2 linked regions of the Arabidopsis thaliana genome follow. The protein of the gene in region 2 interacts with the protein of the main gene of each other region in a pairwise test. Each region holds a gene or a part of one and is shown on either strand. Other genes may lie near its edges. The genes, in order: PDLP3 and CSLC5.

The links.
Region 1: the proteins of CSLC5 (region 2) and PDLP3 interact in a protein complementation assay, tested with the Arabidopsis thaliana proteins (one large-scale study listed by BioGRID).

Annotation. Positions count from the first base shown.
Region 1 is NC_003071.7:14,122,198-14,127,363, forward strand, and holds PDLP3 (plasmodesmata-located protein 3), read right to left. Parts: upstream 3,330-5,166; 5' UTR 2,832-3,329; coding exon 2,405-2,831; intron 2,155-2,404; coding exon 1,783-2,154; intron 1,393-1,782; coding exon 1,285-1,392; intron 992-1,284; coding exon 984-991; 3' UTR 609-983; downstream 1-608. Other genes in the region: MAC3B (MOS4-associated complex 3B), read right to left, coding at 4,387-4,523, 4,600-4,670, 4,798-4,849, 4,951-5,035, 5,125-5,166. UniProt on the Arabidopsis thaliana protein: Modulates cell-to-cell trafficking.
Region 2 is NC_003075.7:15,308,983-15,314,810, forward strand, and holds CSLC5 (Cellulose-synthase-like C5), read right to left. Parts: upstream 4,006-5,828; 5' UTR 3,355-4,005; coding exon 2,635-3,354; intron 2,528-2,634; coding exon 2,219-2,527; intron 2,131-2,218; coding exon 1,840-2,130; intron 1,757-1,839; coding exon 1,643-1,756; intron 1,552-1,642; coding exon 907-1,551; 3' UTR 524-906; downstream 1-523.

The sequences.
Region 1 (5,166 bases), on a different chromosome or scaffold from region 2:
CCACATCTCATATCATGCAATTAAATGCCAAAACAATTACTACAAGATTCATCAAAACTTGTGCGGAGAGTATTGATGTTTGATCCCAAAAGGTATCAATCAAGTTCCCTATTCCCAAAATCATAAAAAGCATCACACTTCTCCATGAAATCGCATGAGTGTTGTATAAAAAATTAACCATAGTTTCTTTCACTCGAGATACATAAACAACAACACATTGAGAAGTACATAACTCGACTTTCGTATTTCCAAATATATAAATTATGCACACGATTATTTTCTGAACAAATAAGATTTAAGTAATGCCGAAAAAAAACATTTAAATAATGCAAATTGCCCACAATAATACAAAACGCGGTGGAATCCTACTCATTTTACAAGAAACAAATAAAAATTGCCAGGTTATACCAATAAAGTTACTTATCAAACGAGATTTTGATAGAAAAAGTACCAAAAACAAGTTGGCAGAAAAAAACAACTCGACAGAAACTCAAAAAGCAACTCAACAGTCTAGAAAAAACAAAATATCATTTAAAACATACGAAAACAAAAATGTATAACGTTATCAGAACAGAATAATGTAAAATGCTACAGCATAGTATAAATTCATTTCTGTTTAAGAGTTACCCATTGTTAAACTATAGCATAACATCCAATAGAATGACTTCACGGAACTTGTAAAAGGTATGAAATTAAGACAAGTATAAGTACTTAAGGAACTTCAAATGAGATAATTCATTTACATTTTTAAAAATAAATTGAAAGTACTTTCTCCATCTTCTAACATTTTAAAATGGTCCCAGCTCTTCTTCATCCATCCCACCACAATTTCCACCTCTCAAAAATACTGTATTCAATAAACTAACAATTCGAAAAATATAAAAATCGGGACACAATTAATTGCATGCACCTCGGAATTCACATTAACGCTTGCCTCCATTTCGGGGTTGGGACTCATTTTGTTGTCTTCATCCTAATTATTTTCAATAATCTGCCAAAAAAAAAACATAAGTAATCAATTTTTTTTGCCTTTATTCTTCTTCTCAACATATGCATGTGTATGTCTATTATATGCAAGCTCTTCCACACTTAATTTTCAATATGCTCAAATTAGAAGGATAATTAATATCTCTAATAAAAAACACTGAGTAATCTATTATTTTGGCAATACAAAAATGACAACTCGTATGAATTACGTTACATATGCATGTATGCTTATAGACGTGATACGTGCATGAATGTTGTCTACGTGTATGTATATATAAGTGGAGAGGAAGTAATTACCGTCATATTTCTTCTTCATCAAGTTTTTGACGAAAAGTAAGCAAATGACAAGAAATCCAACACCAGCTGTTCCTCCTACTATTATTGCCACCGTTTTGCCTGTTGTTCCTGTTTTTTTCCATCAAAAACCATTTCATCATCCTAATAAAATATACCTAAAAATACATTTCCTAAACTTTACGCTCTCTTTTCTAAAGAATTAATTGTTACGAAACCGTAGCAAACTATAATGTTGAAAAGAAAAAAACAATATTTATTCATCAAAATGAAAAGAAACAAAAATCACAATTGGAGCCTGAAAACAAAAGAACAAGTTTCACACTGAAAACCTTTTGAATTAAAGTGAAGATAGTCAAATAAATTAATTATTAACTTCAACATCGAATCATTTTCTTTTTAATGAACACCTTTTCAAGATTTTCCAGCAAATATTAGAACGTTGGTATTGAAATTTTCCACCAAAATAATAAACAAATAAAAAGAAATAGAAATTTTCACCTGAAGAAGATGAAGAAGAAGAAGAACCCGAAGAGCCAGAGCTAGGATAAGGAGAAGATCTCTTGGGAACACCATTTGGGTAGAAACTATAACCGACAAAACACTTATGAAGATATATCTGACCAGATATTGAGCTTCCACATTCGACTTGAGCTCTCTGTAACGCGTTTTTTATGCAACCGCTACAATCTGAATCGCCTATATCGCCTTCGCATTGTCCTAAAACGTAAACCGATTCGTATGTCGTTGCGTAGAAGCCGTGACCTTGAACGACGCCGTTTTGCATCACCCCGAAAGCTGTGTCTCTTCTCTGTTCGAATCCTGTCCCGGCGACGTTGTTCTTCCCACATGTCTTGAATAACAACTCCATTCCTAAAGAAATTTTTAAACCGGAGTTAAAATTAGTCAATCTCGGTTCGGTTTATGGTTAAAACCGAAATTAGGTCGATAGTTAAAAGTTTCTCTGGTTTAGTCGAATCCTAACTTTGGTTAAACCTATATCTAAAACCAAAACCTGATTCTTAACCGGGTTCTTGAAGTTCACACAGAAACTCGAATTCCGGTTCAAGAAACAAAAAATTTCGAAGAAATTGAGATTAAACCAAATAATGGAGAGTAATACCTGAAATTTGGGCAAAGCCAGAGATTTCATAGAGAAGATAACAGCCGGAGAGCTGAACTCTAGCAGCAATGGTTTTGCCACAGAGCTTACCAGAGAGAACAGGAAGACGACTAACACAGTTGTAACAGTCGTTGTTACTTAAATCTCCTCTACACTGGAAAAGACCAGTGACGCTTGTTTGGCTTGTTGTTCCAGTTGTGGTTTTGTAGAATCTTGTTTTCGTTGATTGAGTAACCAATAAGCCATACATTGCAGAGAGAGCTTGTGAGTATAAACCAGATGGATCTGATAATCTCTGTCTTGCACAACCTTTGTAGATTAGGTTCGTGTACTCTGGTGAAGAAGATTTTGCTAGCTTGAGATCTGAGAACAGAGCCATGATGATGATGTAAAGTAACAAAAGCTGCTTCAGTGAATAAAACCCCATTTCTTTTGTATTGTGTGGAAGAAGAAACTAAAAAATCAGAACATAGTTTGTTGTAGAAGAAGAGTTGTTTTGTTATGTTATTGGAGGAAAGATTTTTGTGGGAATTTTGAGGATATGGGTAAATGAGAAAGATTAAAATCTTTTTTGTTGTTGTTGTTGTTGTGGGGCTTGTTTGGAATTTAACTTTTTTGGGAGTTTATGAAATTCTGTGTTTGGTGGATCAGTAAAAGCTCTTTATTTTGCTTCTTCTGAGTTTTCTGAATTTGGTGTTAATGGTGAAAGAGAGAGATTTTGTAAGAGGCTGTGGATGGATGGATGACCACTCTTTTCTCTTTCTTTAGGAGATGTGGAAAAAGAAATAGGATTAGGATAGAGAGAGTCTGTAGAGAAGGGAGCGTAATTTGTTTTCTTTATTTTTTAATATAACAATCAAACACTCTTTTCTTTCTTCAGCCACCACTGACCAGTCTAAAGACAGTACAGTGAGCTTGGTGTGTGTATTGCAGTCTTTGATTATTAGATTTCACTTAAACTGTTTATTCAACACCTAACTTTTTAAAATTAGAATAACTACTCTTTTGGTTTCAATTCCATTTGATGTTTAGAATTTAGTAATGAAACCCAATAATAGTTACTTTATGAAAACACGTTTTCGACAATAATTAAAATGGAAGACAATTAGTATTATATTTACTCTGATCATCTAAAACTGGACAATTTTTTTCCCAGTAGCTAGTAAGGTTATGTATTTTGTAGTTGTTACTAATTACTATATAAAAAGTTCATCGTGTAGGTATTTCTTTAAGCTTAGTTTATGTATTTTGTAGTTTTTATACGATGATTTGTTCAAGTTATTTTAGTATTTTCAGACAAAATTAAAAAAATAATATAGACAGGGAGAAACATAAGCATTCTTTAGAATTGTGAGGAAACACGTGGTTATACCTTAACACGAATTGTCAATCCTGGTCACAATAAAGAAAGGGTATTACAAAACATTATCTTTTGCGTGAAGTTAAACTAATCCTGGAATTGCAAAAGGAATCACGAATCTGATATTCGTGGATAAATGTAAATATTGTGCCCAGTGATTTTTGACCAAGTACAGTCAAGGGTATTCTTTAACATTTAGTTAAAATTTTGTTCTCAGAGACCAGCTGAAATCATTTGTTGGAATACGGAATACTAAGCAGACCACCACTGTCTAGAACAGATTAAATAATACCAAATGCGGTTTAGCACCATCGGTTTGGGATCTTCATTAGTGTCTGAATTCATTTGGCAACAGAAAGAACACATTTTTTGGTACATATATTGAAGGTACAAAGCGATTAAAAGAGCCTATAAGAAAACTCGAGGGTTTGTGAGTGTCATTGTTTGAATTCCAAGAGGTAGCGAGGATGATCACAATCACCACTCACTCATGACCCGCACCTATGAAATTCTCCCCCATTGCTGCAAATACTGTAAGATACAACAGAACTTGAGAAATTTGAGCGAGATAACACTGGAGATGGACATTTGGAATGTTCTGTCTGAGTTTTTTACGGATTGTTCACGAGTCTTGCGCAGAGTCATCATCGACGTTGGCTTTTTCATCACCAGGAAGACCAAATATCCGTAGGTTACGGTCCATCGAACCGACTGCAACGTACTGTGCATCTGAACCAAACTTCACACACGTAGCTTTACCTGCAAGTGTAAGGGCTTCGAAATTAGCAACATTATCGCTATGTGATCATTGAAGGAGTTAGGTAAGGGACTTTACCAGTGCCGGAGAGATCTGGGAGTGTCTTGATAAGGTTCCATTCAGCTTTCACACTTGCCGTCTGGTATACTCTGCAGCCAAAACACATAAATTGTGTTAACCCAACGTGCAGATTAATCAAGCTAGCTTGGTCTCTTTGGATATTTTCTTTAGCTGAGCTTTGGATGTTTTGATCACTATTTTCAAATGTGTACTCACTTGATATCTGATGCAGCAATACCGAGATAAGATCCGCTAGGATCAAACTCCACTGCACACAAAAAAAAAGTAGGTTTAATCAAAGCGAGCTTATAATACATAGAAAGTTCTCTATCAACAAAATGAGTAGAAACAGATACGATAGTTGTGTACCAGAGTTCGCATCTGCAGATAAAAATGATTTGAAGTTCCTTAACTTGCGCAGATCCCACAACCTAACACCATCCTCTGCAGCTGTCTGTCAATTCCAGGACAAAAAGAAAATCATTCATGTAAGCATAACTTAAGCTGTATTCTCTCTTCTCGTATTTTGTTCAAAGTACTCACCGCGAGGAAGTAACCATTTTCAGAGAAAGATATAGCTGTAAC
Region 2 (5,828 bases):
TTTCACTTAAGCATAGTTGTGAAATTGTTCACTTTTATGAAGGTGAAGCAAAGTAATTGCCTAAGAGGAAGATTGAATACATAATCTGATTTGCTCTTATTCACGTAACAACTAGCTATGGTTTCGTTTCAGCAACTATAAATCCCAAATTAAGTGAAAAAATAAAAGTATACTTGCGAAGTAGACATGGAGACGTTGTTTTGGCATGACAACAATTAAAAGCCTAGAAAAGCAAGAGAGACAAGATCATGATCCTAGTTCGGTCCCAGAATCATCAACAAACCCACCAAATTAAAATCTGTTTGGTCCCATTCTTCACTTACACATCATTGAATTGATTGTTATGTGACGTAAACCTCTCTGACCTCTGCTTTTTTTCTGCAATTATGCTTCTCCTCATTCCACTTCCTCTGCCGACACTTTTTTTGCTCCACGTTTCTTCACTTTTCACCGACACTAAGTTGAGAATGTCCTAAGATCCTCAGAGAATACAATAAATATTGGTCTTTCTCTTGTTTCAGTTTAGTCAGAAAACTGGTTCTTGTTAGTTATTTACAGTTACAATCTCTTTCCACAAAGGTTGGACTTTAAATTACATAAATTCTCTGCAGTGATTTGACATGATCCTTGAAATTAGTTCAAGACAGAAGCTCTTTTAACTGCCAACAACATGTTCCAACTTTACAGATATTGTATACATGTATGAATCTCTGGCTCACACTCTATCCCTAACAATGGAGGAATCAAACCAACATAACAAACAAACAAACGAAACGGAAAATCAATTAATGCCTACCACTATGGTTCCAACAATCTCATTACAGAGGATACCACTGAACATAGAGGAAGTGGAAATTCAAACTCACTGATTTATTGACCCGAGTTATGAATCTTCTTTTGTTCTTCTCAGCTCATCTGCTCGCCTATGAGATCGAGACCCACAAGAAGAAAGGTAACACCTTGGAATAACAGGAAGTAGAAATGCACTCCTTGTGCTGCCAAGAGACTCCTAAGCGCTGCAGTGAGCAAAAGAAAGGCCAATGCGAGCTCTTTGTGGTATATCTTGTTGGTTTTCTTGACAGGTTTCTTTGAAACCGCTTGTTTCTGTTCTTCAAGTTGGCTCAGCTCCAAAAGTTCGCTGTCGGAAACTCCCCTAAGCAATTGACTTTTCTTGGTTGGTGTCTCTTTCTCGGTGATAGATAAAAGATCTGACTCTGATGATCTTCCAGCTTTCTTTGTGACAATCCACTCGTAAGAGCTACCCAATTGGAATAATCCGGACACCATCGCATTGAACTTGGTGACAGACATTGTGTTCTCGAATAAGAGATAAGGAACGATGAAAGGAAACGATTTTGGAGATGGAAGAAGGTTGAGGAAAGACATGAAAACTGGTATGTAGCAGATGACCCAAACAGGGAGCTCAGCTTCTGGAACAAACATGGTGAGTGGAAGGATTATGCAGAACAAAGTGAAGGAGTAGAAAGGAAGTATGAGTTTCCTAAGAAGAAAGAAGAGAAGTATCAGATTCGCCTTCTTCCATATCGCTATCTGCAAGAGTAACCAATGAGAACCAGAAGAAGTCATTAACATGATGATTAGCAAACATTTGAACTAAAAGAAGAAAAAAGCTGCACACTACCTTAGAGGTCAAGATTGAACCAAGACACAAGCGGAAAAGCTGCATAGGTCCCGAATGCCAACGGTGTTGCTGCTTCTTATATGCCTCGTAGGACTCAGGAACTTCGCAAAGGACCTATAGATTTGTTTCTATCCAGTTTAATTCATTTTGTTACATAAATAAGGCTTTTTTTAGAAACAATCGATAAAAAGTAGTACCTTGACGTCATTAAGATATATGAACTTCCATCCATGAAGATGAGCGCGGACTGCTATGTCCATATCCTCCACAGTAGTCCTTTCAAGCCAACCACCAGATTCCTCAAGGGCTTTGATTCTCCATACTCCAGCTGTTCCATTGAAACCAAAGAAGTTCAAGAACACGCCGTTCACTTGCTGCTCCACCTCAAAGTGAAAACACAGATTGATGTTCTGAAGACGGGTCAACAAGTTCTCGTCTTTGTTCACAAATGTCCATCTAGCTTGAACTAGACCTAACTCTGGGTTATCCTGAAGATTAAATCACATTTTTAACATGTTAGCAATCTCTCTCTCCACTTTTCAATGATAGAAAATTGAAACCAATGTTAATACCAACCTTGAAATGTGGAACTGTTAGTTTAAGGAAATCCGGAGTAGGCTGGAAATCGGCATCAAAGATTGCGACATACTCGTATGCTTCAACGTAATCACAGCTCATTGCTGATTTGAGGTTACCAGCTTTATATCCAGTTCTAACCAAGCGATGCCTGTAGATTATGTTGACTCCCTTTTGGCTCCATTTGGCAACCTCAGCTTTAATTAACTGTTGGATGCTTTCATCATTCGAATCATCGAGAACCTGAACCAGTATTCGATCTTTCGGCCAGTCAAGTTGACACACGGCAGATATAGATTGTTCATACACCTGAACAAGAAGAAGACTAAAGCTCATTACACTGATACCAAAAAGGTTATATAAAGCAGGAGAAAGATGAATACTTTCTTGGATATACCAAAGTTGAATGAGCATACCTCTCTCTCATTGCACATTGGAATCTGAACAAGAACCATTGGATACTCAGATCCAGATCCCTCAGCATCATCATTACGGAAAGGTTCCTCATCAAATCTCGGCTTAATTTTCTTATACTTGATCCAAAAACAACCCAAGCAAAGTACCAAACGATCTACTGACTGTATAAGGAACAGCACAATACAAAACTTGGAGAGAGCTTTGATGGGAGGAGCAATATAATCAGCTCTAAGGGTTAACCAACCAACATACACAAGATGAAACAGGCTCTGGATCTCAAGTGTGCTAGTGGGGATGTGAAGACTAGGGCTTTGAAAGTAATGCCATCCTCTAAAATAAGCAACAATCTCAAAGCCGAGAATCACTAAGGAAACAGCTAAGAAGAGCTTAATGGCAGTGAAAAGCCATCTGTCTCTGCCTAATTTCTCAGAGCCAAGTGGGTGAGTGAAACTAAGCCGTTTCTTGATGGCACCAAGGAGAGACCAAAAGACAGTGGCGAGCCAAGTGAGACATCCAACAGCTCTATGAGCTTTGAGAAGCAAAACCCAAGTGACTTGCTTAGCGTTCTTGCCTCTGCTCTTCTCCACTGGTCTAAAAGCCGAATCTGGACCGTCGATTTCAACTACAGAGTAATTAGGATTCTCCATTTTCACCACAACTGGTGTTCCTTTCCTCGTGTCTTTCGCCCACCAATCTGAAAAATCCAACCTTGGAGCCATCTTTTGCCTCTAAAATCTCCTCTGAGAAGTAGAGAAATCGAAAACCCTAGCTGAAATTTCTAAATGTGGTAAGAAGGATCCCAAAATAAACACCCAAATCTCAAAGTGTGAGATTTCAAACACAACCCATTTTCAGGAAAACAAAAAGGTAGAAACTTTGAGTGAAAGGAGTGAGCTTTCTCTACTAATAATGGAAGAGAAAGAGATTAATCTAACACCCAGATCCCAGAAATCTGAAATCTAGAGACCCATTTTGTTTTTTATTATATTCTAAAAAACCAGACAAAGAAGCATCCACAGCTCAAGGCTCATTTATAGTGGACCTCTTTTTTTAGAGAATGACAGAGAGAAGGATGGGTTGGTGAGAGAGTGTAGTGACTCAGAGAGAGAAGCAAAGGCAGAGGAAGAGGAAGAAAGGTATCATCAGTGAGAGAAGTTGTAAAAGATGTGTCACTTGCACTTTCATGTGTGTGTTACTCTTTCAGCTACTTATTTGATTGCTTCAGCATGCAAAATTCATCCCCTTTTTATTATCACTCTTTGTAATCTTTCACAAGCACTTGTCATGTCATGGATCTTCATTACAAATATTTGTATTTTCTTAAAAAAAACAAATTTGTTATATATTCAAAAGAAAGAAAATTGAGGAAAATCCATTGATGGATGGGGACCATATGGGTTGTTTGGCAATTTGAGGTGAAGACAAATTCAAATTTGTATTTGTGACCAACTATGTACTAGTTACATTGGAACATGTTTATAAGAAAAGATACTACCAAATCGGTTTCAAGTGAATCACTCTATTTTGCTATCACCGCTTCTCCTACGTGCTCCCCATGTCATGTTCCATGTTTTTTCCAAATTATATATTTTATACATTTAGTCAAATTCTCTTTGTAGTCCATTCATATTTGTTAAAAATACTATATTAACATGAGTTAAAAGTTTTCCTGATTAATTTACTCAAAGCATAAGCATTTTCATTATTATATTCTTGTCAAAAAAAAATCTTGAGTGTTGATCATACTTGGTAATTGGTATAATCACAAACGTAAGTCAAAGCCTTACTGTTAAAACAAAGGGATGCAACTCAATATTAACTATGAGTTCTATAATCAAAATATATATTATACATTAGGAGAGTAAGGAGGGAAACATTATACTTTGGTTTATTGACAAAGTGCTCTCTAACAATCAAAATTGGTCAAGTGTTGACGTAAAATATTGCCGCTAATTTTGGTCATTTTGTAAAACAAAAGATAATTTAGTGGTGCATGCCTTTGACAAAGGGAAGTATTTGACAAAAAAAAGAAGAATGTGATTCATTAGAAGGATAATGTCAATTTTTCAGTTTTAAAAATTCTGAAAGTTCCAACCAACAATTAGGTTACCCGAGATACTTGTCGGTGGTGATATCAACACATGTAGAACACTAGAAGATAAGGATATTCGTTGGCATTTTTAAGGTTTTATTTACTATACAATACCTAACGTTTTACGAAAGTATCATATAAACACTAATAAGAGAAAAGGAAAAGCTAAAAGGAGAAAGATCAAAAGAATTATAAATAAGTAATTTTGTAGGTTAGTACTATTTTTTTGTAATACCTTTTTTTATTTTGTGTTGCTTGTGACATGCATCTACAGAAACCAATCGGTGCTGAGTAATTAAAAATTTGTCATGTAGATTAAAGTTAGACTCAAGAATATATTCTATACGGTTTTAATAATTACTGGCTAGCTATTATATAACGTCATAGATGGAAAAAAACAAAAACTGCAGAATTTAGTGACATTTTTTAATGAATTTAGCCTCAGACACAGTTCTGCCCTAAACACAAATGGTTAGATAACTATGACAATTCTGATGAAATAATAATTCACAAATTATTGGACATGATATATTTTTAAGTGTGCTTTAAAATGAATCCAAATTAATCATGTATATATTAAGATGATCGATTGTGTATTGGTGAATGATTATTAGTTATGACTCATAATGATATTCTTTGAACTATGTTATCATAATCTTTTCATACAGTGCTTTACACCCTCTACTTTATACATATTTATTTCAATAATTGTAATTAGTGGATACAATCATTCAATAATTCATTTAATCGATTAAAGTTTTCTATTGTTATGTTTTTTGTTTTATAAGTTTTTCAACTCTTCCAAAGTAATGTCCATTTCTTTTATAAATTTGAATATTCTGAGCAAAATCATGGAATAAATGAATGTACTACTAATTTCACGCCAAGAAAATGAACTCTATAAATGCTATAGCCTTTCGTATGAATTATGAGTCATTTATTTATCTTCATTTATTTGAAATCTCTAAAGTCCAACTAAAAACGTTTGCAAATTCAAAAACCAAAAATATTAGTTATGATCCGTATGCACAAACCGTAGATTTAAGGAAACGAATTAAGACTTAAACAGAGGTCACTGACGTTGTAATGACTTATGTGCTG